Nothobranchius furzeri: one gene and its partners. The protein of the gene in region 1 purifies or fractionates together with the protein of each later gene. This does not show direct contact. Links are inferred from orthologs where the notes say so. Each region holds a gene or a part of one and is shown on either strand. Other genes may lie near its edges.

The links.
Region 2: the proteins of eukaryotic translation initiation factor 4B (region 1) and eif3s10 purify together in Homo sapiens (co-immunoprecipitation; 3 studies listed by BioGRID and IntAct, with this or other methods). This does not show direct contact. The link is inferred for Nothobranchius furzeri from reciprocal best matches to the Homo sapiens genes EIF4B and EIF3A.
Region 3: the proteins of eukaryotic translation initiation factor 4B (region 1) and eif3ba purify together in Homo sapiens (affinity purification with mass spectrometry; 3 studies listed by BioGRID and IntAct, with this or other methods). This does not show direct contact. The link is inferred for Nothobranchius furzeri from reciprocal best matches to the Homo sapiens genes EIF4B and EIF3B.

The regions. Positions count from the first base shown.
Region 1 is NC_091743.1:53,286,762-53,297,365, reverse strand, and holds part of eukaryotic translation initiation factor 4B, read left to right. Parts: intron 1-2,301; coding exon 2,302-2,454; intron 2,455-4,471; coding exon 4,472-4,677; intron 4,678-5,020; coding exon 5,021-5,137; intron 5,138-5,280; coding exon 5,281-5,335; intron 5,336-6,024; coding exon 6,025-6,171; intron 6,172-6,306; coding exon 6,307-6,510; intron 6,511-6,631; coding exon 6,632-6,781; intron 6,782-6,900; coding exon 6,901-7,165; intron 7,166-7,463; coding exon 7,464-7,540; intron 7,541-10,604. UniProt on the Homo sapiens protein: Required for the binding of mRNA to ribosomes. Functions in close association with EIF4-F and EIF4-A. Binds near the 5'-terminal cap of mRNA in presence of EIF-4F and ATP.
Region 2 is NC_091752.1:6,770,356-6,781,707, forward strand, and holds the start of eif3s10 (eukaryotic translation initiation factor 3 subunit A), read right to left. Parts: upstream 6,029-11,352; 5' UTR 5,896-6,028; coding exon 5,847-5,895; intron 5,130-5,846; coding exon 4,939-5,129; intron 4,852-4,938; coding exon 4,715-4,851; intron 4,553-4,714; coding exon 4,389-4,552; intron 2,196-4,388; coding exon 1,996-2,195; intron 1,817-1,995; coding exon 1,608-1,816; intron 1,539-1,607; coding exon 1,367-1,538; intron 1,201-1,366; coding exon 1,096-1,200; intron 1,008-1,095; coding exon 909-1,007; intron 825-908; coding exon 708-824; intron 609-707; coding exon 423-608; intron 314-422; coding exon 1-313. Other genes in the region: dennd10 (DENN domain-containing protein 10), read left to right, coding at 6,925-6,973, 7,731-7,927, 7,996-8,075, 8,158-8,306, 9,842-9,953, 10,029-10,129, 10,263-10,370, 10,441-10,535 and 1 more. UniProt on the Homo sapiens protein: RNA-binding component of the eukaryotic translation initiation factor 3 (eIF-3) complex, which is required for several steps in the initiation of protein synthesis.
Region 3 is NC_091744.1:16,230,460-16,240,579, reverse strand, and holds the end of eif3ba (eukaryotic translation initiation factor 3 subunit B), read left to right. Parts: intron 1-37; coding exon 38-166; intron 167-242; coding exon 243-400; intron 401-2,274; coding exon 2,275-2,406; intron 2,407-2,493; coding exon 2,494-2,560; intron 2,561-3,809; coding exon 3,810-3,856; intron 3,857-3,948; coding exon 3,949-4,159; intron 4,160-4,234; coding exon 4,235-4,307; intron 4,308-4,404; coding exon 4,405-4,527; intron 4,528-4,606; coding exon 4,607-4,685; intron 4,686-4,735; exon of another isoform or gene 4,736-4,813; intron 4,814-4,885; coding exon 4,886-5,024; intron 5,025-5,102; coding exon 5,103-5,228; intron 5,229-5,259; exon of another isoform or gene 5,260-5,344; intron 5,345-5,417; coding exon 5,418-5,495; intron 5,496-5,648; coding exon 5,649-5,757; intron 5,758-5,835; coding exon 5,836-5,936; 3' UTR 5,937-5,948; intron 5,949-6,109; 3' UTR 6,110-6,647; downstream 6,648-10,120. Other genes in the region: carbohydrate sulfotransferase 12, read left to right, coding at 8,405-8,495.

The DNA of each region.
Region 1 (10,604 bases):
AAGTTTGCTGTATTAATGCTCTTTTCCCTCAGTTTTCTCCATGTCTGGTTTGATGTCACTTTCGTGAAGCGCATTTATAGTCCTGGACTTATTTTCACACAAAATCTAAAACAGTGTTTCCCCCTGTTCGAAAATAAGCGTGTCATTGTTATCAAAATGTGTCTTTAAAATTCACAGACATCATATGTGAAATCCATGGCACAAAACAAGCGGAATTAGAAAATAGTCTTTTAGCTTCATTGACTTGCATTCATTTTTTCGTTCTTCCGGGGACCCATGGTCCGGAAGTAGATGGGTGTGATTTAGGCTCCTTGTAGGATAACTGATCCAAAACAAATTTAAGTGCATTTTGATATTTTAGCTTTTACAGAAAGGGAAAATTAGTCCTAATCCAGCTCCGTAGAATCAGATTAGTGCAGATCAAAGAGCAGGCTGCATGGTGGGTTATTACAAGAGTACCAGCCGTTAAAGTGGGCATATGCTTTTTTTATCATCACTTTTTTGCAAATATTTTAGAGTGTGAAACTTACCTTCACTGTTACCATGTGTGATTATTAGGGCTGCACGATATTAGGAAAACCTGCGATATTCGATAATAATGATTAATATTGCGATGACGATATTACTTACGATAAATAAAAACTTAACTCAGGAACAAAATTAATCAAAAACAAAGAAATAAAAAATTTATAAAAATGAGAAAAGCTAAAGATGTGAAGGAAGGGAAAAAGGGAATGAACAAGAAAAGGCAATCAGTGGCTCCCGGGAAAAGCAGAATCAGCGAAAAGAACAGACCAAAGCTAACTCAGGTGTATGCTAACCATCAAAATGAAGTGCCGCCCGCCTCGGGGGCGGGCATCTGACCTATGAGAACCCACCCAATTGGCCAAATGGGTGAAGAGCTCTATTTGATTTGTTAAAAAACATAATGCTTTCATTTGATTGACAGAATGCATTATGTGTAGCAAACATTTGAGCTGAACATTCAATGCAATATTTATCTGTTCTTTGCTATATGCATATTGTGTATGCTGATATCACGATAACGATATATTTACGATATATTGTACAGCCCTAGTGATAATGTAATTTCATGTATGAGTAGTTCACTGACAGTTGGGATTAAAACAAATCTAACCTGTTTCCAGAGCAGAGTGAAGCCCCCTGGGCAGCTGTTGCTGGCTGCACACAATCTGGAATGTTTCGTTGTGGGAAAGAAACGTCACCGCCTTGTGAATGTAGACAAATGATTTCCTTCCAGTTGGTTATGATTATTAATTCTTTATTTTATTGCTTAATTAATTTCTTTATCTAGTCGTAAAGACATGAGCTCCTGCTGTCTTTAAACCAAGTGAGAGGTTTCAGAAATTTGGAATATATTATTATTTATTTAGGCTCTTTAAGAAGTTTGACTATTTTAAAAAGGCCTCACAGCTTTCTTCTAACTGGCAGCCCAGTGACCGTTGGATATAAGTGTGTGCTTTTATCACTCATGCGCTTTAGCCTCTCTTATCTGCTGAAGCTGGACAGCATGTCACAGCTTGGCTACAATGACACTGGCGAGCACAGGCGGGCAAAGTTATGAACCCCTTACAGGGGTGTAACTGTGTTGTCCGTATGTTTACAATAAAGACAGATTGAAACGTAAAATAGACGTTTAAATGTGTACCCATAAACCTTTCATTAGGGCTGCACAATATTAGGAAAACCTGCGACAACAGTGATCAATATTGCAATGACAATATGACTTGCAGTAAATAAAAACAACTCAGGAACAAAAACAATCAAAGATGTAAAAAAAATATATATTTTTTTTTAAATTAAAAAATGGGTGAGGCAAAAGTTTAGATCAAGAGATGTGAGGAAAGGGGAAAAGAAACTGAACAAGAAAAGGCGATCAGTGGATCCCGGGAAAAGCAGAAAGAGCAGAATGAAGCTAACTCCCGGTGTTTGCTAACCATCCAAATTAAGTGATGTCATAAGATAGATGGCGGCAGGCATCTAACTTATGAGAACCCACCCGATTGGCCAACTGGCTGAAGAGCTTTATTTTATTAGTCACTAACTTCTTGCTTCCGTTTGACAAAATACTTGATGTGTAGCAAACATTTGAGCTGACCATTCATTGCGATTTATTTTTTCTGTTTACGATATGCGTATTGTGCATGCTTATATTGTGATGACGATACATTTAAGATATATTGTGCAGCTCTACCTTTCACGTTTTCTGCTGTTTTAACGCACTTATTCATGTGTTTAGTGTTGTAACAAAGCCAACTGTGTTCTGCGTCTTTCATCCAGCTAAGAAGAAGAATAAGAAGGGGAAGACCCTAACTCTCAATGACTTTCTGGCCGAAGACGGTGCCGGCAGCGGCGGCAATCCTAATGTAGCCCCAAGCTACCCGTCTAAGTCTACCAGCTGGGCTGATGAGACGGACGACTTGGATGGAGATGGTGAGACCAACACAGAAATCTGTCTATCTGAGGCAGAACTCTGAAATACATTTTAACTGTATGTGAATAAAGTTTAAACAAATGCAAAGTGAATTTCAAATTGAGTCATTGATTGTAGCCTGGTTCATTTAGCTGACGACCATTCAAACGCTCTGAATGAGAAAACAATAAACCCAATAAAGTTTATATTTAAATGATTCATTTACAGTTTTAGCCCGCCAAAGTTCACTTCCTGTTCAGAACAGACAAAAGAAAACATGGAATACAGCTGTGCCAGACGTGTAGGAATGGATTCTTTTGTGTGTGTATGCCTTGGTTCTGCATGACGAGTTGTTTTTGTATCCACTCTGCAGAATGTTGATGCAAAAGCAAAATCTCCATCATGTGTGTGCGTGCCCATGTGTGTATGGGTTAACCGTTAGAGTTCAAGGCGTTGGAACTGTTGTAGTGAAATATTGTTTGTAATTATAATTTGAATGTGTGTTTGAGAGCTAAACACATTTAGCACTGTGGTGAATCAGTCAGCATGTGTGGTCAAACACACGAGTGGCTGGTGAGGTTTTGAGTTTAGGGGAAACCTCTTTAGTTTCATTAACTGTAGGAACTAGTTGGTCTAGCTTTTATAATGCTGATCTCACTTTCAGCGTTTCTGTGAGGTTGATGTTTATTCAGCTGTGACCTTTCAAATGTTCGTTTGTGCAGTGTTCAGTGTCAATAATGGCATCAAAAAGACTTGATCAAGAAGATAACGATCACTTTGCTGCGTTTTGTAAACTAAAGTACGGCTTAGGTTTAAATCTGACAACATTCGTTCTCTCAGATGTTTTGGATCTAAAGCAGATCTGCAGCTCTGGGGTCGTGTGGCTCTGCAGCTTTGACCATAAGGAAAGATAGTTTTAATCATTTTTATCTCTTTATTTTTGCAATAAATCAAATTTTATAACAAGACACTGATACTAAAAGGATTGCATGCCAGTGTGGAGGTCCATTTCAACATTGAGCCAATTATTTGCATATTATCATTCTACTTGGTTTATGCAAACTTCACAGATCCATCTAAAAATGACTATTTTCAATATATTTGACCCAATTTACTACAATTAAAGAAACTATTGTCCAGATATTAATGTCTTACTAAACATGACATTGTAATAGCATGCAGGATGTAATCTTTGTAACACAAATATAAATTAGCCTAATAAAAAATAACCCAATTTTGTTTACTATTCTTCTACATGGAAGAATTGAAACCTCTCAGAATGGTCCAGAACAGGAACATAAAAATAGTTTACTGGATTTATTTCTGTCACACATTTAAAATTTAACCAGAAAATGAAATTATAATTTGGATTCATTAAAGTGAATGTGTAGGTTTTTGGGAGGGGGGCTCTATTATAATAATAATTATATTTACTAGGAAAGATGGTGACAATATCTGTGAGTTGTGATTGTTGCAGTGACCATTAACATTGTAATGTTGTGTTGTTCTCCGTTTTGTGGCAGTTGTTTTTTTGCTGCTGCTTCTAGTTTAACAATAAGTGGAAAAATAAAAGAACTGCAGCAGCTGCTTTTCTTTTGTCTGACACACGAAGTGTGTCACTTCAAATCAGCAATAACAAAGTATTATTTACACCTCTGTTATATTTGACAGATAATATATGTATCTGATTTGTGTCTTTACATTGTATTTATTACTGGTTCTTAATTATCTGTATGTTGTACAATTTTGTAATTTACTTTGAATATTTGAAGACCTGAGCCGACACTTTTGATTTTTAACACTCAGCTGAGCAAAATGTAAAGAGCTTCAAATGAAAAAGTTTCTCCCTTAATCGTCACTCTAACCTTTTAGAAAATCTAAGTTTAATTCATTTATATTTTTTTATTAAATTATTTTGAACACTTTGAAATCCCCAAATTTTTCCTATTTAGATGCTTTCAAGTCTTTCTGATGAGTCGGTCTTAATGAAAACCTGATGTCTTTTCTCTAAAGAGCTTCTGCTTCTTGTCTCTTCAGTCTCGACATCGTGGCACACGGAGGAGGATATGTACAGGGCCCCGCCCATCGACCGCTCCACCCTGCCCACGGCCCCGCGCTCTGCTCGTGAGCCAAACATCGACCGGTCCAAACTGCCCCGCAGTCCGCCTTACACGGCCTTCCTGGGCAACCTGCCTTACGAAGTCACCGAAGAATCCATTAAAGATTTCTTCCGCGGCTTGGCAGTAGGTGTTCCTCTACTTCAGCGGGGTGTAAAACACATCGACACATGGGTTGTGATCTAGTGGTTGTTTACGTTTATAAAAGCTTTTTCAAGGTCGTGAAATGCGTGCAGGCATTTAAATTTGGCGTGATCTTACAACGGTATCATTTTTTATTTTAGGATATGTGTTGTGAAACTTCTGTTTACTGTTTTGACAGGATCCCATAACACACACACACACACACACACACACATATATATATATATATATATATATATATATATATATATATATTTGTATTCATGTTTACTAGGTTTTCAAGTTTCTGTGGCTCAGGTATTTTTTTCTTCTGCTTTCTCTGCAGATCAGTGCAGTGCGCCTGCCGCGAGAGCCCAACAACCCAGAGAGGCTGAAAGGATTCGGCTACGCTGAGTTTGATGACCTGGAGTCTCTTCTGAGTGCCCTCAGCCTGAATGAAGAGGTGAATCTCAGACATTAACTCAACCTTATAACTAATACCTCGCCTTAAAATTATGTTGTGGAATTTATTTTATTTTCATATATTTGAAGTCTTTTGTTTAAATAAACGAGTCAGGGTTCACCAGCTTCTTTTTATGTCAACAGAACCTGGGGAATCGAAGGATTCGTGTTGATATTGCAGGCCAATCTAACGATAAAGGTGCGTGTCGGCTGCTGCTTTTAGCCTAAAAAAATGTGGTTTTTAAATTAAAGATTACATGAAAAATACAAGAAAAAAGATTTCATGAAATGTCCCACTGTCCAGTTTCTGGAGCCAAAATGTGACATTCGTCACGTGTCGGTGTCTTACTTTATTTCTTTAGTTGGGACGTTTTAGAATCTTGTATGAGACTGTGTGAGACTGGTGTTACTGGTTTCTGTAATGCTGGTTCTGGTGTGCAGCCCAGTCGGAGTCTTACGTTGAAGTCTGCAACTTTATTAGCAGGAGCAGTGTTTACAACCCAACTAGATTGGTATGGCCAATGAAAAAAGTTGCTGCTAATGCAAAATGGTAAATGGCCTGTGTTTGATTGAGTGCCTTCTAGAATTCTAGAACCCCCCCCCCCCAAGGTGCTTTACAACACAATCATTCACACACTGGTGGTGATGAGCTACACTGTAGCCACAGCTGCCCTGTGGCACAGGGACAAAGGCGAGGCTGCTGAGCACTGGCGCCACCAGTCCCTCCGATCACCACCTGCAGGCAGCGCGAGTCGAGTGTTTTGCCCAAGGACACAATGACAGCAACAGACTGATCGGTGTTCGAACCTGCAACCTTCTGATTACAGAGTGCACACTTAACAACTCTGCCACTGTTACAGTAAAACACATTTCATCTTTCCATCATAGAACGAGACGGTGGGTCCATGGGAGGCAGGGACAGGGGTGGACGCATGGCAGACATGGGTCCTGACAAGACGGACAGTGACTGGAGGGCTCGACCCAGTGCAGACGCTGATGACGGACCTCCAAGGAGAGATGATCCGTTTGGAGAAAGTAAGTCCAGAGGTTTTGTTTGATCTTTGTTTCCGTTCAGATATTCCTGCTTGAACCTGATGAGAAAATCCTGTTTTACTCATCTAAGATCCTCTCTAGTTTTCATCTGATGGAATACTTGTCGGCTGTTTGCAGAATCACGGGACCGCTACGAGTCCGATCGTTACAGAGATGGCCCGCGGCGAGATAATGATCGCTATGACAGTGGGAGAGACCGCTACCGGGATCGCTATGACGACAGGGACCGTAAGGATCGCTATGATGACAGGGAGCGCTATGATGACAGGGACCGTAGGGATCGCTACGACAACAAGGACCGCAGGGACTTCAGTCAAGGGGGTGAGCTGGTTTAGACGTGTGTTGGTTTTCTCCTGACTTCCTGTTTTTCTCAGGTTTTCTTTTTCCAGCAGGATGTTTTCAGGTTTCCCTGTTTCTTATCGGCCCTAATTTTTCATTTCAGGCTACGACTCTCGTGGTGGAGGAAGTCGTCGTGCCTTTGGTAGCGGCTTCCGCCGAGATTACGAGGATGGTCGGGGGAGCAGCGATCGTTACGGTGAGCGGGATCATTATGGGGACCGGGAGGACCGGTATGAGCGACGGGAGGAGAGAGGTAAGTTTTTTTTTGTTTTGTTTTTTTAAATCTGACTACATGATTGTTTCTTCAGACCGGGTCTCTGCAGCGTTCAGTCCTTCTAATCTGGTTTCGTTACCTCCACATTTTCCCTCAAGCTCCTCAGCAAAGACCCAAGCTGAACTTGAAGCCCCGCAGCGTACCGAAGGAGGAGGAAGGTACCGGCAGCAGCGGGAGCACATCTCCAGCCGTCGCCCCCAGCTCCGGCAGCAGGGCCTCCTCCATATTTGGGGGAGCAAAACCAGTTGACACAGCGGCCAAGGAAAGAGAGGTGGAGGAAAGGCTGAAGAAAGAAGAAGAAAGGCTGCAGAGGCAGCTAGAAGAGGACAAAACCAGAGGACCTGAAAGAAAGATGAGGGACAGGTCAGAGATGACTGTTTTTCTGCTTTTTATGCCAAAACATGTGTCTCTAAAACATCTGCTTAGGATTTTTGCTGGAGTTTGTGATTAAACATGTCAGGTTGTCATCAAGTATGTAGCAATCTGTCACTCGACAGCAAGTTATTTCGTTACAAGTAAAAGTGCAGTGAAATAATTGACAGTTTTGTACTGGTTTCCAGCGAGTTTTTTGATTTAATAAAAGTGTTGTACCAACTTTAGTTCTGCTTTGAAGCTAAAACAATATCCAATGTTTTGAGAAGTAAACGGTTGTTGTTTTCAGGGACCCTAGCTGGCGTAATGAGGAAACTTATGGTGAACGATCCCGCACAGGAAGTGAATCTTCACAGCAAGGAAGAGGTAAAATGCTGCTCGGTTTGTTTCTGACCAAACCTGCATTCAGAATAAAAACATGTTCTTTACTGTTTTACATAAACATTCCCTTAAAGGTGTGGTTCACTGAAAAAACATTTTTTTAAATGATTATTCCTGATTATAATCGGTCACTCTTGAGTTTTTCGTGCAGGCTGAACATGAAAATAGTCTCCTACACCTATCTCCTGATGATTAGAAAAGCCTGACAGATCTACGTCACACATGGACTCACCCATCTTGACTCACGACAAGGAAGGCTGTTCTTGTTTTAGCGTCCAGGAAACGGTAGAGAACGTCTTAGCTAGCAGAAGCTAACTGTTAGCATTAGCAACTCCACCATAGGGTTGTCACGGTGTGAAAATTTAACCTCCCGGTTATTGTGACCAAAATTATCACGGTTTTCGGTATTATCGCGGTATTTTTTAAACGTGTTACATTTTCAGACAACTAAATAAACCCTGTATGTCAGGAAAATATTTTCCTCAGTTTGTGTCTAGATTTAGCCTAAAATTTGTTATTTTGTAATTATGTTGTTTATTTGTTTACATTTTTCCCCTTTAGTCTTTACAATATAAATATTTGCCCATAACTTCTTATTTTTTGTCTGTTTGATGTCATCATTCTAAAAATATTAGATCAGATGACACTCGGTACTCAAGTAGCCTTCTAATCAGATACTTTTTTTACCCTTTCTTGAGTAATAAACCCTATACCAGGAAAATATTGTCCTCGGTCTGTGTCCTTCCAGTGAGCTTTGCAGATTTGAGAATAGGCAGTAATCATTGTTTCCTCCCGGCTTGTGATAAAAAGATCAGTGTTGTAAATCAGTGGTAGACGAGATGTCATAGAGCTGGGTCAGGGGTCGGCTACCTGTTCCCATTAAAGAGCCATTATTACCTAGGGCTGTAGCGAAGCCTCGACGAAGTCGACGGCTCGATTCTAAAAATTTGTCGACGTCAGATCCGGAAGTCGACGCACCGCGCCCACTTGTTGCATCCCCAGGAGTTTGTAAATAGAGGAGGAATCTGCCTGTTTTTCCTCTAGTTCGCCCTCTTCTCCGCCTTCACTAACATCTCCGCCAAATACCGAAGACTCGGAACAATGTCCGTCCACTACTAGATTATTTTCCTGTTTTGCCCCTTCGTCTCCCGGCAACGGACAACAACTTCCGGGGTCAGATGCGCTGCTTCGTGTCTACCGCAGATGTAGAAAATCACCGGGAGCGCTTCTCCCTTCATTAAGGAGCTTCTTTCAGACATGAGGAGAGCTGTTTTGGTGGTAGCAGTCTCTCCTCCATGCTGGTCTGTTTGCTGCCGGGTGTTTTTGGTTTATTTAAACTTGGTAACTTGGACTTAATGTTGGTAAAGCTACTGTTAGCATCTTCGCTAACAGCTTCTTGCGTTGGGATAAGCTGTTACGTTTTGGTTTAGAGTTCATCTTTTTTGTGGTGTAGATCTCCCTTTTATTACATTTAGAGTGTTGTGGGTTTTCGGTTTAGTTTAAAATATCACCTGAGTTTGGTTTAACCCGTAAGACCACTCGCCTCACGCACATAAGTGACCAAAACAAAGCAGCATGGAGACACTCCATCTTCTACCACCTCTCAGGCAGCAGCCTGCACTCCCAAGTTCTACATGTCACCAGAACATAACCAACCAACACAATAAACGCAGTGTTATACAAAATGGAAGGCCTGTAGTGTTTATTCTCTTACAGTAAGAATTTATCAATTTTTTTGAGGAATTTATTTGAGATTTTCTGGTTTTTGTTAATTGTGCAATAGAAAAATAATCTTTAGATTAATTTTCTAAATAGTCATTAGAATAGTCGACTATTCGATAAAATAATCGTCAGAATAATCGTTTTAAAAATAATCGTTTACCCCCAGCCCTATTATTACCCGTTTCCCACAGTAAAGAAAACTCTGGGAGCCACAGCAGCCGCGGCGTTGTGGGCGGGGCCTACCCTCAGACAGCAGAGAGCTGCTTTAACCAATCACAACAGGTGACAGTAGCCAGTACCGGTCGCTCGTGTACGTCAGTTATCTTTCATAAGACGATAATCAATAAAACGATTTATATAAAATGGATCCAGAAGTTGTAGCCCGTCTCTGCCTACAATATTTTGATATTTTTCACCCTGTTGGTGGTTTTACTGAGCAGGTGCCACTTTTGTCATACGTTTCTTTTTAAAACATGTTTAGACTGTTCAGAATACAAATCCAGGATCTGTCACGTTTGATTGTTGTAATTAAACTTTGTAGGTGGGGAAGGTCAGAAAAGGATCCGATCAGTTTGTTTTTCCCTCATTTGCAGTGACGGAGATAACGGCGCAGTGTGCCTGGCTCTGGTGTTAATCAAGTTAAATTATATCTCTTTGCAACAATTTTCACAAGAAAACAGAACAGTTAAAAGCAGGGCTTGTGTTGACCGGACAGTTCCCGTATTTGACCGTTTATTTTGACGGAGAAAGAATAGAAAGCATTACCCCGACGCATGCAGACAAACTGACATTATATTCATTATGCACATCGCAGATGTAGCTAAATCACTCAAGAAAAGATTCCCATCTGAACATCTGAGCTGGACACTGCTCAGCGCAGCTCGCTGTCAGCGCATACGTATGGTGCACAGCGAGCTGAAGATGTGGAGAGGGGCTTGGAGCGCCTCGCAGAACCAGAGCGCTTGCAGGAAGATTCCTCCCACTGAAGCGAGACTTGTCACTTAGAAAATGTTCCCTGATAATGGAACTTTGGCTGAATAGTGCTTGTTCCTGTCTCCAATGTGGCGACACATCCAGGAGCCATCTGAGGAGAAGCCCAGAATCTCACGTCCACTTCAGCTCAGAAAGCGCCGATATGATTACGCACAAGCGTGACGCGTCAACCCGGTCTCACAGTAAGACCGGGTTGGAACTGTTCAGGTTTACGCAGACAATCTTTACATTTAGAATTGGCACACAGATGTAAAATTAATTCAGTAAAATATAAAGCATTTCATTTAAATATCCATTCATTATTTTACAAGCACAGAGAGCCGCATCAGATGGA
Region 2 (11,352 bases), on another chromosome or scaffold:
GCTCTGTTTTCTTGATCTGCTCCAGGCGTTCGCGTGCCGTCTTCCTCTTGATCTCCACGTGCTCCTGCATGATCCGCTCCTTCTCCCGTTCTTTGGCCTCCAGGCGCAGTCGCTCCTCCTCGGCTTTGCGAACCTTCTGCATCTCAGCCTCCCTCAGCTCTAGCTCCTCCTTCTCGCGCTGGATGTTTAAGCTCTCCAGGCGCTCTTTTCGCTCTTCGATGGTCTGCCGGCGAGCCAGGATGCGCTGGTGATCCTTCCGGGCGTTTTTCAGATACGCAGCGATAGCTTGCTGATTCTGCTCGTCCCGTTCTTGCTGAAAAATGACAAAAAATCACAAATAAAGATGAAAACTGCTAAATAATACACAAGAATCCCAGCTTTACAGGGTTGTCAAACCCTTTGTGTTTCATATGTGAACGGACCAGAATGGACGTGGGTTTGATGATCTGGATGGCTTTAGCCAAAGACGCAGACATGGCCGTCAGCTGATTCCTGATCTGCTCCGACGGCATGTTCTGCAGGAACGGGCCCACTGGAGAATCCTCTTTGGTGGAGTAGTTCAGGTCCGAGCCGAAGCTCAGAGTGCGAGACGAGTGGTCGATTCGAACCTACAGAGCAAACAACACTGAAGCCATCCCTGCCTGTTGCTATGGTAGCACCCGAGTCAGACTCAGACATTTAAAATATCTCGTTAGATTTGATCCCACCTGGAGGTCACAGTGCCGCGCGGCGTCCACGATGGAGCGCTCCAGCTGGAAGGCGTCCACAAACGGCACTAGGGAGGCCAAACGGCTGAACTCGATGCTCTGGTAGATCTGAGCCACCTGAAATAAATAATAATAATACAAGAACACGAATGACAACCACCACCCAGTTATTGGCAGGTCTTATTGAAGAAGAGTTTCTACCTGCTGCAGCAGCCGGAGGATGGTGTTGCTCTGCAGGTGAGGGACGTACTGCTGCAGATCAGACTCCTTCTCAGCCTGATCTCTCACCCAGTTCAGCACCTGATGGGAGACGACGTCATGAGATGCAGCAACAGTTCACTAGCAGTGCTACGTGCTGCCATTGCAGCTTCATGACTGCAATGATCACCTTGGTGACTCTTCCGCTCAACTTCAGAGGATGAAAGTCGACCTCCAGCCAGTTGTAGAGCTCCTTCACTTCAGGCACCACGTACTGCAGCAGGTTAAATCTCACCTGAAACATTCACACGGGAACAATAAATAAACTTTGTCTTTAAAGATTCAACACATATCCAAGTTTGATTGTTTCAGATTTTTGTGACAAGCATGAAAAGTTAAACTGAAGCACCTATTAAACCTCAGAGGAACTAAATATATGCTCCAAGCTTCAGATTCCTCACCATGTCATTGATGAGGCTCTGGCGCGTCGGAGGGGACTGAAGCCCGAGGAGCGTGGCCAGCCGGCGGTGTTTCTCCACAATGATGCCGTCCATGTCCAGCAGCCGGGCGATGTCCGTACGCTCAGGGGTGATGGGGATACACAGAGTAGCCAGGAGGACTCTGGTGGACATCCTGAAGGTCAAAGACAGAGGTTATATCCCTGTTTTGATTTTGCAGGGTTAAAGTTAGAGAACAGGATACCGCTGCATCTCATCGTGGGTCAGATTCTTGCGCATATCCCTGGACAGGTGATAGAGGCGGTGCAGGGTGCAGGCGTGAAAAAGAGCGTTTCCAGACTTCCAGAAGACAGTAGACACTTTATTGTAGTAGTTGGCCATGAGCTGAGGTTTTGGAGGCTTCTTGGAGAGGGCAAACAGGCCGTGGATATCCTCAACAGCCTTAAAAGCTTCCTGGTGACACCAAAACAAAGTGCCAGGAATCAACATCGGCTAATTGTTTTTAAACTTCAGAAGGATCCACCTACTAATGCAGGTGACATTACTGGTCGTTAATGATCAGTGCAACAGTTTTATTATTAATAAACCAACAGAATTAGATCCAGTTAAAAAAAATGAGCATCCGAGCCGACCTGCCAGAGCTCCATGCTTATGGCGCTGTCCAGCTGCACCAGACGCGTCTCCAGGTGCATGGACTGGCTCTCGGGGTTGTTCAGATTGATGGCGGTGCTCTGGTTGTGGTGTCGCTGGATCTGACCCAGATGCATGCGGAGGTTGTCACACAGCTTACGGAACTCTGCTTTGCGGGTGTACTGGAGGCAGAATTTAAAAGCTGCAGAAGAAGACGACGACAAATGTTAACTCTGCATGGTTTTCGCTCAGCTGCAGCCAATCCTGTCGAACCCGCTTTAACCTGAAAACTAAACTAAACAGGGCCAATAAACATAAGGGCCACACATAATAAAGCTCTCTAGTCAAAATGTACGTTTGGTGTCAGACATATTTTACAGTAACCTGCTCTCTGGTGTTCAGGTAGAAAATGCACCAGTTTAACCTGATAATTCTCACAGCCTTTCACCTCTGACAATAACTCTCAGGGATTCCCTTACATAGGCGTAGCCGTGGCGGTCCGCCGCGGCTGAAATCCCACCTCCACGCCTACAAGATCCCAAGTTTTTTTTTTGCGCTGTTTCCCGAACAAGCAGCGGGAACTACTATGTTGTCGCTGGTGATCACAGCCGGCGGCAGCAAGGAGCAGGCAGGGCAAGGTGAAGTTACAGCATAAGTTACGGAGTTTAAAATTAGAAAGGTAGCAGTGAACTTAATGCTTTGTGGTTTACATGTTTCAACAGCATTAAGATAAACGAGTGTTGACGATCTTGACAGGGTTTCCTCCAGTGCTTATTAGGCCAGGTTCTCCTCCCCCCACCAGGCTAAGCATCACTTATTTATGTAAAATTTATTTATTTTTTCATGTCTGACTTTAACCGCATCTAATACTGTATTACGGCGTGAGCACAACAGCGACAACTTAATATCGATGTTTGAGCAGCCTGAGAGGTCGGGTGTTTCATCTGAACCCTTAAAACCTCCAGCAGGCTACGCTGCACTATTGACGTGTTAGCGCCGCGCGCTAACAACTTAGCGACGTGACATGTCTCGGAGAAAGCGTAAAAACACTTTGGATGCTTCTTCTGAAGCGGGAAAATAACACCTCTTCTTAGGCAGAGCACGACGTCGCCTCGACTGAGCTTGATAACATTGACCCAGCACAGCCACTGGGTCGTTGGAGCTGCCCCGTCGACTGCCTGATGGAAAACCAGCGGGTTTCATCAGACTCGTAAAGTTTCTTGTTTTTGCTGGGGACCCCCTGTATTTTACCGCTCCCTCCTGCAGTTTTCCCCTATTAACATTTAAAATGATTCTGTAAATTTGTGTATCAATAGAAACAATCTCTGCCTCTGCCAGCTGCAGTAAATGTAGTCTCCAAATAATAAATAAGAGGTGCATTCATCTGTGTATCTCCTTTGATCCGCATGAGTGATGTTTTCAGCACCAGAACAGAGAAGCAAAGAAAGATTCCTGAGTTTGTTAGTAATTTTATTTATTAGGTGCATCTAACCTGTTCTATTTTTCTCTGAAATGAGATCAAATCAGTGCTTCTATGGGTTGTCTCCAATCTGCACTGGAAAATTTTACTTTATTTAGAGACGTGTCATAATTTCTCCCCAAGCCCCCCCCTGGCCGGCCCCACCGCCACAGCTGGAAAAATTCCTAGGGGAAACACTGAACTCTCATAATAAATGAGACTGAGTGGGCATCTTCTTTCCTTTTGGATGGCAGACCTGCCAATCTTGTCAAAATTTTTTTGAGTACCACTTGTGCGGCGTTTTTTTCGCGGACTTTTGCAACTCCGTTGCTTTTCACGCTGTAATCTCCCCATTCACTAGATGGAAAATTACACACACACACACACACACACACACACACACACACACACACACACAGCTGCCTCTGGCTCTTTAGTCGCAGATTTATTATTTTTTTTTCACTCAGATTTCGGCTTGAAAGTTCAACAGTGAAAGTAACGTTACGCGTTCACATTCACCAAAAGACGGCCGGTCCGACCCGCTGACACACACACACACACAGTTTACCTTACCAGAACAGCAGCGAGTGGCGAACCGGAGGGAGAGAGGAGCAGCGGGCAGGACGAAGCAGGGAGGAGGGGGGGCGGGGGTGTTACGCTATAGGCTAGGCAGTTAGCTCTGTTTTTTCTCTGCTTCTCTACGATGATTGGCTTAAACTTCTTCACCACGCAGCTGAGTCGTGTTGTCAGACATGAGTACCACATGTGCATATTTGCCACAGAACTCAACTCGCGTATCCGCAGCTTTTTGCGTAGTTTAGAGGGGTGAGTCGTACCAGCGTAAATAGATGCCAAATTGCGTACTGGCTACGCAAAATGTGTACAGGTTGGCAGGTCTGGGATTGCTTTTCCCTCCACACACACGTGTCCAGTTACCTTGCTGAGCGATGTCGTGGTACAGACGCTCCACTTTGGAGTTGTTCCTCAGCAGATCCAGGCACTGGCGGTAAGACTCCCACAGGAATTTCACCCACGGCGTGAGCAGCAGGCGATCAGTACGATCCTGAGTGTCCTCCCCACTGACGGCACTCAGAAGGACACTATCATCACAGAATTAAAATATATATTTACTGTGATCAATAGCGATGGACAATATATCAGCATCGCTATTGGCCCTAAAATTTCATATGGGTGCATCACAAATACAGCTTTTCTACTGGAGTTATTAGAAAAATCGTTTTAAAAGAAGCCAGCCGTTTCACCTTTCTGGTGTCTGGATGTTGTCCAAGTCCTCGATGTCCAAAACCATCTGCTGGGACTCTTCCTTGGCCGTCTCAGTCTTTTCTTCTGCCAGCTTTAGGTACGCCCTGACTACATCCTCCAAAGACTTGATGTTCACCTGACGGAAAAGAGGACACATAATCAGGAATATTCCGGTGTAAACAACAAGCTGTGAACAAACACGACATTTATTCTTCTTACACACCTGCTGACAGATGTTTTTGTACTGGTAGAGGCCCTCTTTGGCCAGGTGGCTCTTGCGCAGATCCACGCAGAGCTCCAAATACTTGAGCATGATGGGTTCGTGGATCTTCTGCCATGTTCGATGTTTCTTACTCTTGATGACATCGTACAAAACATCCAAGGCTGGCTGCTTTTTGCCCACCTCCAGAAACTCTGTGTTAACACATTTCAGGGAGGAACTTGTCAGAGCACAGAAAGCCCACTCCAACGCTTAACTAGACCTAACGTAGCTGCCATGATTAACATGTGTGCGCCATGATTAGCACTTGAAAACCCAGACAGCCTCAGTTTAATGTCATTATGGTTGTAGGGCTGATTTATTAGCATCAATCAGTAGCACAAATGTGGCCTTGCTAGTTAGCTACACAGGCTGTAAGCGGAACGCAGCGACTCGGTATCCCCGCTTTAACCGGTGTTGTGTCGAAAGAGGCACCTCTTTGGCAAAAGGCGCACTTGCCTTCGGACTAGTCAAAGCGCGACGGGTGACGGTTTTTCCAAATTATCTAAACGATTTGTGCATTAATGAATGACAACTTAGGTTAAATTAATCAGTCGGAAGATGTAAAGAATATGGAGCTTTTCCAAGTTTCACGCTTTGGAAAAACAGTAAAATTGTAACTACATTTGTAAAAGACATAATTAATGTAGAGAACGTAAAATACACAGGGCAGATTGTTGGTTACGAGTTTCACGCGCATGTTGCAATGTTAACAACTTTCTATGCGCTTTCCGTGCTTGGAAAAGCGCTGGGTGCCATTTTCAGCACAACACCTACTAACGGCCAAGTAGCCGCTAACGTCAAGCTACCAGGCTAAAGCTAGCTAGCATGAATCCATCTCATCTGTCACACGAAGCCGGGGATCTACTCACCGTTCGCTCGTTTCAGAGCATTCTCTGGCCGCTGAAAATACGCCGGCATGTTGTTGCAGCTCTACTGAAACTCAAAATTGAGTGACTTGATTACAATTTCGACGAATTTCACCAGTTCATCCGAACCACGCAGTCACAGCAACGACGCTAGCCGAGAAAGGAAGAACCTCGTGAACGTCCAGGCTAGGGTTGCCAGATGCGACCTCCTTACAGCAGGACACCATGATGAAGAAAAGTAAAAATTAAACATTAACATGTGTGTTAATAGCTAAAGGCGTACACTGTGTATAATACACACTTTGATTAATTTTTTTTTGTTTACAAACATTTCAAAAGCAAAATTTCAAACGAATGTTATAAGTTATACATTTTAACTATAGCACGTTATTCATAAACTCCCACATCTAGACAATACATTTATTTAAATTAAAGACATAAATTTATTATACTATAGTGTCATTTTGGTATATCAAAACAAAAACAAATAATTAATAGAGCTTTTCAATTAAACACGTTCAAAACGGAGGGTTTTTAAGCCAACCTGGCATCCCATGTGAGTTGGAGCGGGGATGCTCCTTTTGGTGATGCGTTCAATAACATCAAAATAAAACTTAAATCGGTGTTATAACGGTGCATCATAGGAAAACACAAGCTGTATTCTGTTCAGATTATCTTAGTTATGAATTTTTGTTTGAATATAATAGCTCAATGTTGATCGCGTCACTGTTAAATATTTAACAAATTATTGCCAGTATCTTTTACTTGGAGATTTAACATAATTCCAATTACCACGAACGCACCGTCACAGTACCATTGTAATTGGCAGAGAATCGAAGCTCCGCCTTCACATTCGTTGATCCCGGAAATGAGAATACGTTCCACACAGACACGAAAGTCTGTTGCACAGCAGCTTAATTTTTACCCAAAACAATCATCCAGATTTAATTGGTCAGTTTTTTGGAATCAATGCAGCTTCTATTTTAGCATTGGACGAGCTCCTAATGTACTTCTGACAGATTTTTCTGAGCAGAGAGGACGATAGTTGGTGTTTTCTCTCCAGCTAACTTCTATATGGAACATGACAGCAACGACTGGGACGCAGTTTATGTTGAGCATCGGGTTATTCGGTAAGTCCGAGCTGTCAGATCGGATGTGGATGATGTTTGTGAAACTTGTTTCAGCGAAGGTTGACTTGGAGGAGAATCACATGACATCAGTGTGGCAGACGGAAGAGGTTTCGTCATTCCCATCATCGTGTGAACACGCAGAGGGAGAGGAGCTTCTCTGAAGGATAAAGAACGAGGAACATTGTAAACATGACATGAGCACAAGAAAATTAGATTACAACCGAGTTCTGCATCAAATGCAGGTGTGTTCGTTTTGACCAGCAGGGGGCGCTGGTGGACACAGACTTTACAGTCACTGGGATGGTTTGCCAACATTAAAGGAACAGTTCAGATATTTTTAAGCTTTAATATGTAGAAAGGTTATGAGTGGCTAATATCTCACCTGTTGGATTTACTTTTAGGTGTAACACGCCTGGAAACATCACAATATTTCTGTCAGAGTAGGAAATATTCTGTGGTTTAAAGAATTGTGACGACATAAATGGCTCTATTATCACTCCCTCCCATCTTTTGATCCTTCCCCACCTCTCCCCTCCCTCTCTTCTTACCTTAATTCCTCCTCCTCCTCCCCATCTTTTTGACAGATGAAGAAGCCAGATCTCTCTCTCTCTGTTTATCAGTCGCCCTCTTTCCCTCAGGCAGGGGGTTGAGCAGCTCTGCAGCTCTTGAACTTTGACCCTGGATCTGTCCCTGATGGTTGCAAACATTACCATCTGACATGCTCAGGTTGATCTTGATGTTCTGTTTCCTCCACCAGAGAAAGATGTGAATAAAGACGTGCTGTGGGTGTGGTGCTACCCGTCTGTGAGCCCGGAGCTCAGGCAGGTGCTGCTCAGCAAAAGCTGCCTGACTCAGGATGGCTGTGATTTTCACACGTTTGTGTTCGGTCAGTTCAGACGCAGCTGGTACTACATCACCACGGTGGAGGTGCAGGAGCCCACGGCTCTCACCAAGGTATGGAGGGAGGAGCACGTAGCTTCTCTATACCGGGAACATAAAATATCTACTTCTTCTCCCCACAGGTCACAGACTTTTCAGTAGCTTTAACAGCAAAAGACTTCAACCCTGAGAAGTACGCCGCTCTTAATAAAGTTCTCTGCAGGTGAAGATGTTTTTCGTGACCACGATCTGTGCTTAGCGGTCTAAATGAAACGTCTGGTCAGCGTTTACCTGCTGTTCTCCAGGATGTACCTGAAACATGGCAGCCCAGTGAAGATGATGGAGGCCTACATCACCGTCCTCACCAACGGCATCTGTCAGAGCGACGAAAACGGCTCCTTCCTCATCAAGGACTACGACGTCCAAAAGGCCTACCTGGCAGGTTCAGTTAAAGGTGAGACCTCGCACCTTCCACCAGTTACTGTTAGAGCCCCACTGGTACCAGTTTAAATACCTGATGTGCTCAGAAGCAGTTGTTGTTGTCGTTTCTGTCAGTTCTTTACCTCCCATCAGACCTTCTGCACGCGCACACACACACACACACACACACACACACACACACACACAGACACACACACACACACACACACACACACTGCAGTTCCACTCTCATCCACCAGGGGCTGGCTCCAGAAAGGAGACCGTTCCCATTGACTCCCATGTTAAAAAAATACCAACTTCACAGCAGAATAAACATATTTACAGTTTGGTTTAAAATCATTTTAGGTTTAATAGATCTAGTTTATCATCATGATAACTCTGAGGGGGGTGAATCTCTTTGTAACTCATCTGTTTAGATGTGATTAAAGCTTGAAATTATGAATAATTAGGGGCGTGTCCTTTAGATTGACAGGTAGTAGATGAGCTGTCAGTGGCAGCAACTCGCCCTTCTCTGCTCCAGGGTAGGCCTCAGCCGCAGCCTCGCGTTACAAGTGTTACAGCCTAGAAGGTAGCAGAGTCGCTCAAATGTTATTTCCTGGCTAAAGACACACCCGCCCCTGTTAGCTTCAGTTAGCTTGTAGCTACATTGGCTCTGAGCTTAACTCATTCGCTGCCAGCGTTTCTCGCCGCTTTTGCTGTTTTTTAAGAGTCACAGAACGTTGCGCACTAGGATGATGTCAACGACAAAACAACCAAAACAAAGCGGAGACTCACCTCTTACATCAGGAAGAATCCGCGCGTTTGGAGCGTTATCCGTTCTTTCATAATCCGTTGTTGAATTGTGATCGGCAGAAGCTTTTCCGGTTCGCGCCTCACTTTTTATTACAGCAGCGGCCCAAAACGATCTCCTAACACATGGATGTTCTGCTTCCTGATCACGTGACGTGTGACGTACGCGGATGAAGATCGGCTTCAGAGCTGAGGTGCGGGGGCTCGTCCGACGACCACACAGTAAAAAAATGCAAATGGCGACTTTAGTCGTCCTTGGCAGTGAATGAGTTAATGGGTGTCAGTCATCAGCCCCCATGCTCACGGCCCCGCTCTCAGCTCCATTTTTGTATTTCCTGAGATGAGACGCGTGACGTGGCTAAGATGGCGGTGGGGGGAACCGCCCACTGGGCTTCAGTTCAGCGCTTTCGTACGAGTGACGGTGCGGAGGGTTCGTCCGCTACACACACAGTCACCACACGAGACCGATAACGATTCACCAAACTACAGATGTGCAGTTACCATGGTGACCCTAATGAGGCAGTGGCAGCAGCTTCAACATTTCTGTTGTTTGTACATTAAACGTTCGGTCGTAGTTTACATAATCATAAAATGATCTCTAATCTACTTTTGGGATTGTAGAATGAATTTTAGGCAGAAATTAGAGTTTAGCTCCAGAATTTTACCAGAATTAAAAAAAAAACAATATTACTTGATTCTAAAAATCAAAAGAAAGCCGACAGAAAGCTGTAATGCGCCGTTCTCCCGCTCTGGTTTCAGACGTGGTGTCTCAGTTTGGCGTGGAGACCATCATCTTGTACACCGCCCTGATGCTGAAGAAGAGGATGGTGGTCTTTCATCCTCGAATCGAAGCCTTGTTGGAGTTTACGAGGTGAATCCTGGACTTTAACCCCCGCTCGAGGCGAGGAGCGTCTGGTTCTTAACTCTTCCTCTTCTCTCTGAGCAGAGCTCTTCCTGCTCTGACATGGCACAGGAAAGACTGGTCCATCCTGCACCCGTACGTCCACCTGACCCACGCCGAGCTGGAGGATTTGAAGAAATGCCCTGGTGAGGCGGCCAGCTGCTTTAGCTAATTAACAGGAAACATTTGCTAACTGTGATCTGCTGCCATCTGTGCTGTCCTTTAATGGTGGCTGAATGAATTATTTATCAGCCGACGTGCTTACCTTCTTCTCCGCAGGGTACGTAGCGGGATTCGTAGATGCAGAAGTGAGCAACAGATTGGACTTGTTTGATGTGTTTGTGAACCTCCCAGACAGAGTCATCACCGTGTCCCAGAGTGCCAAAGGTACGGTAGGCTCCACGAGAACGCAACGGGCTTGAATCTTCTCAGATTGATTCCTGGCATTCCCTCACAGAGGCCATGGCCATGGGGAAGCTGCACAAGGACATCGCTCAGGTCATCGTCCAGTCTGCGGAGGATCCCGACAAGTCGGATGGTCAGGTCATCAAGGTGGGAGCTCCTCTAATGCCTCACTCGGCACAGAAGCCCTCCTAAATCGAATAAAAACAAACAAACTCTCGTTCGCAGGACATTTCCGTCAAGACTAAAGAAGTCCTGAACAACCTGGCTGCTCTGGCCGAAGAGTGCGACGACTCCAGGATCACCCTGGAAGCCCTGAAGCGGCATCACTTCCCTCCGGCCACCGAGAACTTCCTGTTTCATCTGGCAGCTGTGGAGCAGCTCTTATGGATTTGAACGGGTTCTCAGACTCTGCGGCTTATAAGCTCAAATCTGAGTGTTGCTCTAACGTTGGGAGGCTTGTGTAGAGGAATGTTTGTTTTTATTTTCGTAAACATTCCTAGAAGAGACTAACGCCTCCAGCACCTGCTGGTTCACTGGCTTCTGCAACACCAGCCCCGTGCAGCTGCCCCCTTCTCGATTTCTCTGGCAGGTTTTCTCAATTTAAACAAAAAGGTGAAATAAGAAGCTTTAAACTGTAGCAGGAGCTTCATTAATGCAGTCCCTATTGCTGCAAAACCACGTCGTTACTCTCCTTTACTCCTCTGGAGAGGAGAGGAGGAAGAGGAAGGACCGGTGAAAAACAAAACGAGGAGCAGGTTTGTGGATCCAGACCCAGATTGGATCACGACAATCCTCACCTTTAGGAATGCTGGTGAAGGTTCTCAGTCATCCAGGTCATGGTAAACCAAAAGGTTCAAATGAAGACAGCTGGACTTCTTTAGTTTCTTGAAGACGCCTCGCTTCTCATCCAAGGAGCTTTGTTGGTTCTAACTGGAGTCTAGCTTATCAGCTGCACAGCTTCAGC
Region 3 (10,120 bases), on another chromosome or scaffold:
ATGCTCCATCCTCAGTTTGCTCTTGTTCTCTGTTCAGGGGAATATGCGTCACTGGATCGAGGATCCTGACTGTCGTGATCAGTATAGTGTGATCTACGAAGCTGGAGAGAGGACGGCCATTTTCTCAAATGACGCTAAAGAGCCAATAATAAATGAGGAGAGAGCGGTAAGGTGGTAATTATTAACAGCAATCAGGTTAATGTGATGTGAGGAAAACCTAACGATTTTGTGTTTGGATACAGCGCTGGACAGAGACGTACGTCCGCTGGTCTCCTAAAGGCACTTACTTGGCTACTTTCCATCAGCGGGGTATTGCATTGTGGGGCGGCGAAAAGTTCAAACAGATCCAGAGGTTCAGCCATCAGGGTGTGTCGCTCATCGACTTCTCACCGTGTGAGAGGTAATCCGCACAAAGCCTGCCAAGTCTGATCTCAGTTGATCATATTTGTAATGAGAATTTTTTTTTTCCACCAAACTTTTTTTTTCCTTTCTGTGGGACACTTTGCAGCTTCTTCATATTTTTAAATAATTTTCCTGAGCCAGTGTGTGCTGAAATAACCCTTTACAGGTTTAATGAAAGGCCACCCAGACCCTATCGCCAGAACATTCCTTCTGTTGGGACTTAAAAAAGTTGAGCTGACATAACTGGCGCTGCAGTCTGGTTCCGGACCTTTTCCCTTATGTTTTAGATCGTGAACACTAGGGCTGGGCGATACATCAATATTTTTTAAATATCTGTATAATTATTAAACAAGATATAAGATGACTTAATATTTTTGTATCGATTTAACTGGTCAAACGGCTATGCTAGCGATTAGCCGCTATGCTAGGGACATGTCGCTCTGTCTCTAAGCAGCTATTCTCACAAGATTGCTCAATCTGAGAGCCTCTGGGTAAATGTGCTGTTCTAAACTTTGCATTTGGCGTCCTGGTTTTTAATTATTTGGGGACGTTCAACGCCAACGGAGTTCTGTTTATCCATCCTGCTCGTGCGGAGACGAGCCAAACACCTCCCTCCCCTGTGTAATCGGGAAACATCTACATGTAGCCAGAGTGGCCAAATCACCTCAAACATATTGTAAGGGTAGAATAGTAAACTATAGGGTTAATGTTTTATTTTGAAGGCGAGCTCAGCGGGTGAGAAATTTTGTTCTGATTTTTTTCCGCTCTGGTTAGCTATGCTAGTAAATACTCCATTACGAGCGATTCAGTTGAAAAAGTTCAGAGTTTGTAAGGTGTGGGTTACAGCGACAATAGCATGCAAATCCTCCCCATAAAAGAGCAACCAGAGACTGAGTCACTACAGTATAATCGCTGATATGAGTCAATACTGTTAGATTGCAGCCATGTTTGCCCTCATAACTAATAACTCCACTGTGCGTGACCCAGTAGATGCAATTACATCATCATACATCTAGTTTAACATGATAGATTTTTTTTCTCTGGGCAATAAATATACGATATGGGCCACCTCTAGATGACTAATTGTACATTAATTATAAATATATATAAATAAAAAGTGCCTGTGGGACATTTGATACACCTCCAGCTCTCAAGTGTGTGTGTGTGTGTGTGTGTGTTTGTTAACTGACAGCTGTACCAGTGTTTCTAAAGCACAGACTGGTAGAGAGTAGGCACTAAGGTTAGAGTTTGACAAGAATCAGTACATTTTTATGCATTTAATCTACTGATTTATGTTTATAATTTGTCAAGACAGCTTGAAGTGAGTTAACTTGTAAATATTTTACAGGAGGAAAAATATCGAGATATATATCGTATATCGGAATTCAGCTAAAAAATATCGAGATATAAGTTTTTGTCCATATCGCCCAGCCCTAATGATCACAGATTATTTGTTTAATTTAGTGATGGATCACTCCTATAAACTCTAATGAAAGCTGGGGAGACATTTCAGCTGTTGGATTAAGGTGTTAAAAGAACGAACGCACAGCGAGACGATAAGTTTTGCTTTCGGTTCTACAAACACTAGGGGGTGCTAAAAGCGAGCCAAAACTGCCTAGTTTCTTGTAGAAGTGATCTTTATTTTTATGTTATTGCAGTTAATGTTTCTTCCGGCGGGGAATCACATCAGCATACACTTTTAATAGAAAATATGATCAATAAAATATGAAAAAGTGATTTAGCAGATCCTGTTTGTTAGTTATAGTGACTTGGAAATAAAACATTAAAGATAAACACAAACCATGCTTTGTAGGTAGCATTAGCCAAACTGATTTTACTGAGTTTTATAAAACGTGCTGTTGGTTCCTGCAGGTATGTTGTCACCTTCAGTCCACTGATGGACACCAAAGAGGACCCACAGGCTATCATCATCTGGGACATTCTGACTGGACAGAAGAAGAGAGGCTTCCACTGCGAGAGCTCGGCACACTGGCCCATATTTAAGTCAGAACACTACTTTTGTTCTTTCTCTTTAATTTTAAATGCAGATTTATGTTTGGGTGTGTTTTAACTGGACAGGATTTCTCTCAGGTGGAGCCATGATGGGAAGTTCTTTGCTAGGATGAGCACAGACACGTTAAGCATCTACGAAACTCCAGTAAGTAAATTAAGAAGCACCATTTTTTTAATGAAATATGATATATATAGTTATAATAGTTATGATTTTAAATAGGGTTGGGTATCGAGCATCGATTGGAACCGGTTTCAACTGTTAGTTTTTCCCGGAATCGTTCAAAGTTTTTTATTTCGATTCCTAGTTTTGATTCCTAGAATGCCGACCGGAAGAGGAATCCGCGGCTGATCTCCGTGAAAAATAAACGTGATCTGCAATCTGTGATCAACGCTTTTCAGAGCTGATCACACCAGCTGTCTGTGTGCAGCACCGAGTCTCCTCCCCTCACCCACCCTGCACGCAGCGGCCAAATATAAACAAACGCCTCTGCCGAACTTTTACTCCGTAACGTAAACTTTACCTCCTGCAGCGTAGAGGAAACGTGTTAAAATACGTCAACACGGTGGATTTAATAGAAGCTTTAAAGAACAAACTCTGGATGGTGTGAGGTGAGTTTGTCTCACTGCAGAAATAAAAACACACACGGAGCGTCAGCAGTCAGACGCAGCCACTCACCAACACTCGTGTGTGTGTATGCGCGTGTTTGTGTGTGTGTGTGTGTGTGTCAGAAGGCTGAACAATAACCTGTAGAATAATTAAAGTCATGCTAGAGCAGCTTCTCTGTGGTGGACCACACCAGCCACAATAAATAACTATAATAAATCACACACAATGTTGTGAACATTTTAATTTCCTTTCTGAACTATTTCTGTTGAGTTTTATGTTTAAAATCTGTTAGGTTGTTACTGACAGCAGCTACATTTAAGTTCCACTTCCTGTTCTGACTGAATGCTGCAGCAGCATGGAGGTGTAGCTCTCAGTCATCCTGGACATGATCATCCTGAGATTTTTAGCTGAAAACAGCTGGACGTTTCTGGATATGTTGGAGACATTCAGCCTCTCATCCCAGAGGCTTCCTCCAGACTTTGGTTGTGGTCAGAAACAAACACACTGGTTGTGCTGCAAGTGTTTTTCTTTTTTCTCCAAAACATGTTTTTGTCTAAATGAAGGTGTTGTTGTTCATAGAGTTAAAATTCATGTTGAAGTTAAGATTATTTCATCGAGTAGGACCTGTGGTTAGCTGGCTCATGGAAAACATGGACTGTCTGGAAAGAATCCGAATCAGGAATCAATAGGAACCGAAATTGAATCGAGGAATTGGAATTGGAATCAGAATCGTTCAAAATCAAATGATGCCCAACCCTAATTTTAAAGGTGTGTTTTTTCCCTTCAGTCAATGGGCCTGTTGGACAAGAAGAGTCTCAAAATTAATGGCATCAAGTAAGAGTTTTTAATCTCGTTATGAATTGTTGCTTATTACACTTTTATTGTTATATTGATGTGAATCTCGAGTTTGTTTGGTCTTTCCACAGGGACTTCTCATGGTCTCCTGGTGACAACATCATAGCGTTCTGGGTACCAGAGGACAAAGACATCCCAGCTAGAGTCACCCTGATGCAGATGCCGTCTCGTCAAGAGATCAGAGTTCGTAATCTCTTCAATGTAGTTGACTGCAAACTGCACTGGCAGCGAAATGGAGATTATCTGTGTGTGAAAGTGGACAGGACTCCCAAAGGAACTCAGGTATGCAGCCAGAGATAGACTGTCTTTATATCTTATTGGATTTACGATAAAAGGCCCATCTCTGTTCGGTTCCAGGGTGTTGTCACCAACTTTGAAATCTTCCGAATGAGAGAGAAGCAGGTTCCTGTAGATGTCGTGGAGATGAAGGGTGAGAGCAAAAAAAAGAAGCATTTTTGCATCTATTTTTGACCGTTTTATTTTATAGAAGTAATCTAATGCGATCCGTTCGTGTCCTGTCTTCTTAGAAAGCATCATCGCATTTGCCTGGGAGCCCAACGGCAGCAAGTTTGCTGTTCTCCACGGAGAGTCTCCCAGAATCAACGCTTCCTTCTATCACGTCAAAAACAACGGGAAGATCGAGCTCATAAGTCAGTTGGTTGGGCAGATGAGCGAAAGTCGTTTTTTTAGTGTCTTTACTCCCTCTTGTAATTTTTATTATTTTTACAGAAATGTTTGACAAACAGCAGGCAAACAGCATTTTCTGGAGCCCCCAGGGACAGTTTATGGTGCTGGCTGGACTCAGAAGGTAGGGTGTGTGTGTGTGTGTGTGTGTGTGTGTGTGTGTTTTCTCTCAAAAGCCGCTGATGATAAACTTTATTTTCTGACACCTCATATGAGAGCTTTGCTCCTGATTCTAATGCTGTTCTGAGGCTTGTATCTTTTCTTTCACCTTTCACCTCTTGCACCTGCCCCAGTACCAAGTCTTTGTTTTGCCTCTGTGTTCAGTATGAACGGCGCTCTAGCCTTCGTGGATACCTCTGACTGCACCTTGATGAACATAGCAGAGCACTACATGGCCTCTGACGTAGAATGGGACCCGACCGGCCGATACGTCGTTACCTCCGTCTCCTGGTGGAGCCACAAGGTGTGTCCTGCTTCCACAAACTCACTCGCTCTTCTCTTCTGTTTAAACTCATCCCTTCTTTTGGACTCATTTGTCTAGGTGGACAACGCGTACTGGCTATGGACCTTCCAGGGCCGTCTCCTCCAGAAGAACAACAAGGACCGGTTCTGTCAGCTGCTCTGGAGGCCCAGACCTCCCACTCTGCTCAGCATAGATCAGATTAAGGTACCAGTTTGCCTGTAAAATGTGTGTCTGGAGCCGGTGATGACAGATAAAAACTTTCTGACACCTCGTATGAGAGCTGCACTCCAGCTCCTGATTCTATTTCTGATCTGAGGCTCATAAATACTTGACATGACATTTCAACCTCCTTGTTTTAGAACAGTCCTAATTAACTTGTGTTTTCCCTTGCAGATGATCAAAAAGGATCTTAAGAAATACTCAAAGATCTTTGAGCAGAAGGATCGTCTGAGCCAGTCCAAGGCTTCAAAGGTTTGACCTGTTCCTCCTTTTTGACATTTTACTCTTCATTGAAGTACAGATCTGTACATTCATGTTATCTCCTTCATCTTTGAAAGCTTGAGTCTGCCGACACTTAATTTTCTTCACTGCTGAAGTCATACAAATGTGTGTTTGTGAGCGTAGGAGCTGGTGGACAAGCGCAGAGCCATGATGGAGGAGTACCGTAACTACAGGGAGGCGGCGCTGCAGAACTATCAAGAACAGAAGAACCTCCGCCTTGAGCTCAGAGGAGGTGGGGCTCTGCTTTTACAAGCTCGACCTCGATGACCTCTGTGCTTCATTTTAACATTTGGATGGTTTGGTCTTCCAGGAGTGGACACTGATGAGCTTGACAGCAACGTGGACGACTGGGAGGAGGAGACCATTGAGTTTTTTATCAACGAAGAAATCATTCCCCTCGGAGATCTGTAGTCCGCTACGCAGGTAACACTTGATACGTGTAACAAACATGGCCACTGGTGTTTTGGTCCAGTGTTATGCTGGAATAACTGGAACAGCCCATTTTCTTTCTATTATAATTAGTTGCTTTGCACTTGGTGTCTGTATCAATGGTGTGATTTGGTGCTACTCTGATCTTCCTTTAGTCCATCTGTTGTTGTGTGGAAGGAGAGGATAGGAGCGGTGTCACTGACTGGAGAAGGACGACGGCCTCACTGTGACAAACGTTGGGTTCGTCTCGAGCCTCAGGTTTTCTTTTAGTGGCATCATCAAATCAACGTCTTGTGGATCAGCAGCCACATTGAGGAAAAAGAGAAGCTATCCAAATTATTTCTCTGCCTCACAATTGCCATTTTCTTCTTTGTGGAACTGGAAATTTAGTAAAACTGCCTTCATTTTTAAACATTGGTTGGAGTCAAAACTCTCAGCCCTATCTTAGTGGACCTTCTTCCTCCTGGGATTGATTCTGAACAGGCCTCATCATGCTGGTGTGTTGCTACAGCGCAGCACAGAGTGTCAAACCAGTGCATGAGGAAGGTGTTGAGTCAAAACCAGTAGCCTTGTCAACAAATGTGCTGATGTGGCGTTATAGTGGCCTGTATCCTCCTCCTTTCAGATTAGGCTTTCACACAGGGAGGGGGTGCGCAGTGGGAATAACTTTAAATAAACATTCTAACACAAGTACTCCTCTGTTCTGTTTTTGTGTCTTAAACAAGTTTTGTCCTGTTTTATTAAAATTTGTCAAAATGCAACAAAGGGTTTTTGAATGAATCTGTGGATAACAAATTCAGATTAGGGCTAAGTTTAGCAATGTCCCTGAGGTGAAAGAAGGAAGAGCGATCTAGAGAACTGACATGGTAGTCCAAAGTAAGAGCTGGGTCAAAGGTCACCAGGATTCCAGACAGGGTTTGGTGTGAGAAACAAGCTGACAGTCTCTGAGAACCAGCTTGTCTGGGGCACAGATTAGGATCTCAGTCTTCATTCAGCTGTAGAAAGTTACCAGCCATCCAGATTTTAATGGAGTGAGCAGATGTGTGACAGCTGCAGCTTGGACATCTCATGGGGTTTAAAGAGGATGTGCAGTTGGGTGTCATTTACATGAGGATGGTAGGAGATTCCTTAAAAGGACCTCAGAGTGCTGAAGGGGTAGCAGATAAAGGAGGAACAGTATTGACTCCAGCACATAACCTTGTGGAACCCCATGAGCAAGGGAGGTGGGGAAGAACCAAAACTTGCCAAAGAGATGAAATACTTGGACAAATAGGCGGCAAACTAATCTAGTATAGTTCCCGATAGGCCTAACAAGTAGCTTGGACATGAGCTGGAGTTTAGCGATGTCATCTCACAGTCAAAGCTATACTTAAAGGTTTTCTAAAGCATAACTCACAAAAAAGCTACCAAAGCTTATTTGCTGCTTTTGTTAGTGGATCAAACAGTTAAAATTATTTTAAGGTTTTGTATTTAATTGTATTTTCATGATGATAGCTGCATAATTCAAACTGGGTGTTTATTGAATAAATGCAATAATATTAATCAGTTTAAATGACTTGCAGTGATTTTTTTGGGGCACATTTGCATAAATATTTGGAGAAGGTACATGTATATACACATAGTGGGTGCTATTATTGCAAAGTAAATTAAAAACTTGGGTTCCAGAACAGCAGCGTACTGTAAGGGACACATTCAACTCTGGTATTGCTCAAGTAGTATATTTGTAGTATTAAGTATAAATGAGATTTTCCTTTAAATAATGTAGCTCAAACTGATCATGTAGCCTAAACAAAAAGCAACTCTTGTTTAAAGTTCGGAGTAATTTATTGCCCATTAAATGGCGTCATTATTCTGCAAAGGTTTTTTTTTTTTTAAATACATTTTACAAAACAGGTCTGAACTTGTTATAACAGTTTCTGGTACAGAAAGAGTGAGTCGGTTTTTTTTTTTTTTTTTTACAAACGAGCAGGACAAAAACAACAATATGGCACTTTTTTGTGCTATATGGCAAGGCATATTTAAAACAAGGAATCTGCAATATTTTTGATAAATCGTGGCAGTTTTCTTAATTATTCCAGAGACTTAAAATATTGTGTGAAGTAGTTCACAAAGAAAGGCAAAACTGGAGTAGTATTCTTTCAATAATTACAAGGTCAAAAATATCCGAAATAATCTGTAAAGGTAAAACAAGCCAGAGAAGAGAAAATCTCGAGTGTTCGGCGGATGGGTTTTTAAATCTCGCGAGATTTTAAATCAAAGAGGAGCCCACCCGGTCTCATCACCGGTAGACGGACAGATGGAGAGCTGGAACACCGAGTGAACCGACTGAACGGAACCATGGATAACAAACGCAGGGTGAGATAAAAACTCATTTCATCACGTTTGTTAGTTTTCGTTATTTTTTTAACCTCCAGACGGACGAGTTGTCTAACGAACGTTACTGTTATGTGATGCTCCCGGTGCAAAGGGGGCACGAACGGAACACAACTGGGCTTTGTGTGGCCCCTCGGGGACGCATCATCTTGATACGGAGGATCAAAGGTGGGTGAAAGCAGATGGACTCGCCTTTCATGGCGTCGTCTGCACTAGAGAGAAAACCGACACCGACCACTCGGATGAGGGACGGTCGGTGAAATGGGAGAAGTCCGTTTCCGCGGAAAGGTCAGGGTGATGAATTACTTCAGAGATAAACTAAACCTGTGATCTAGAAGCCTGAGAAAAAGCTACAAAAGAATACACGTGTTGAACTTATTTATAGCTAAAGTTCACGCGCTTATGTTTTTCTTGTGCGCGTGTCTGCGCTCGCGAGCGTTTGTGCTTAACGCGTGGCAGTAGGAAAAAAAGTGAGTTAAGGATTTACATTTCCACCAAACAGACTCTTGTAAGCCAGGAGTTTGGCTTTCCACGCTGAAAAAAATAGAAAAATAATAATTTTGTCAGTGAAATCACGTTCTTCCCTGGCTCGGCTGGATCTTATCCCGTTATTTTTTAGACGTCATTTCCCCCCGGCCGACAGCAGATGTTATGTGGGACAGACAACAGAGGGGTGTGAATCCTCCCTGGTGCCCTGGTCCGGAGCCTCCATCCCCCCTCCACCTCCCTGCTTGTTCACATCTCCGTGACAGCTGAGCGCCCCGGCCGGAGCCTGCGGGGTTCCCACGGTCCCCCTCAAAGCAGCCAAGCACATCGTGCGGTTATTATGCTGCTTCAGAACATTAATAATGATCACCGTTTTGACCCAGATGATAACTTCTCATAACCATATGCAATGATGGCAAATATGTTTATTAAAAATAAATAACAGTTAAAGATTGACTTGGCCTATCAGAGCTACATAAATACAATGCACCAGTTTAATCTCAGTAAATCCACTTGATTGTGATGAAATATTTTAAGCTGAAATGACTAAACTGATGCTCATCCCCTAAACTTATTGTAGAGCAAAACTCTACAGTAATTACTCAGCTGAATAAATGTCAGAGGAAATTCTGGTTTTCCTTCAAATTGCCCAAAACATATCCTGCAGAAAATATTTATACTGCCAAACATTCCTCAAACACACAGCTAACAAAGCAAGATGCTACCTAAAGTAAATGACCTAACAGAATTTAATTTAAGTAGGAACATATGTGCTTTGAATCACTTAGGTGAGGAGATTTCAGCATGGGAAAATAACTGAATAAACAATCATAAAGATTCTGTTTTAGCATCAAATCAAGTAATCTTTATTTCAGACTTAGTTCAGTTCACAAGAAGTATAAAGACACTACAGATAAAATAAAATAAGCACAATGTGACATGTTAAAGCATGAGAGACAGAATAGTCTTGAGAACAAAAACAAAAAGGTGTGTGTGTGTGTGTGTGTGTGTGTGTGTGTGTGTGTGTGTGTGTGTGTGTGTGTGTGTGTGTGTGTGTGTGTGTTTGTGTGTGTGTGTGTGTGTGTGTGTGTGTGTGTGTGTGTGTGTGTGTGTGTGTGTGTGTGTGTGTGTTAATAAACAGCAGCAAAACTGCAATGATCACAAATTCATGTTATGAGAACATTTTTGAAATTTGGGGACTTTTCCCTCTCTTGTAGTTTTCTGATAATCTCTGTTAGAACTTCCTTGGAGAATCCCAAAACAGTTTAGGACCAAACACTTTCATTTGAAAATGAATTATAGCCCAC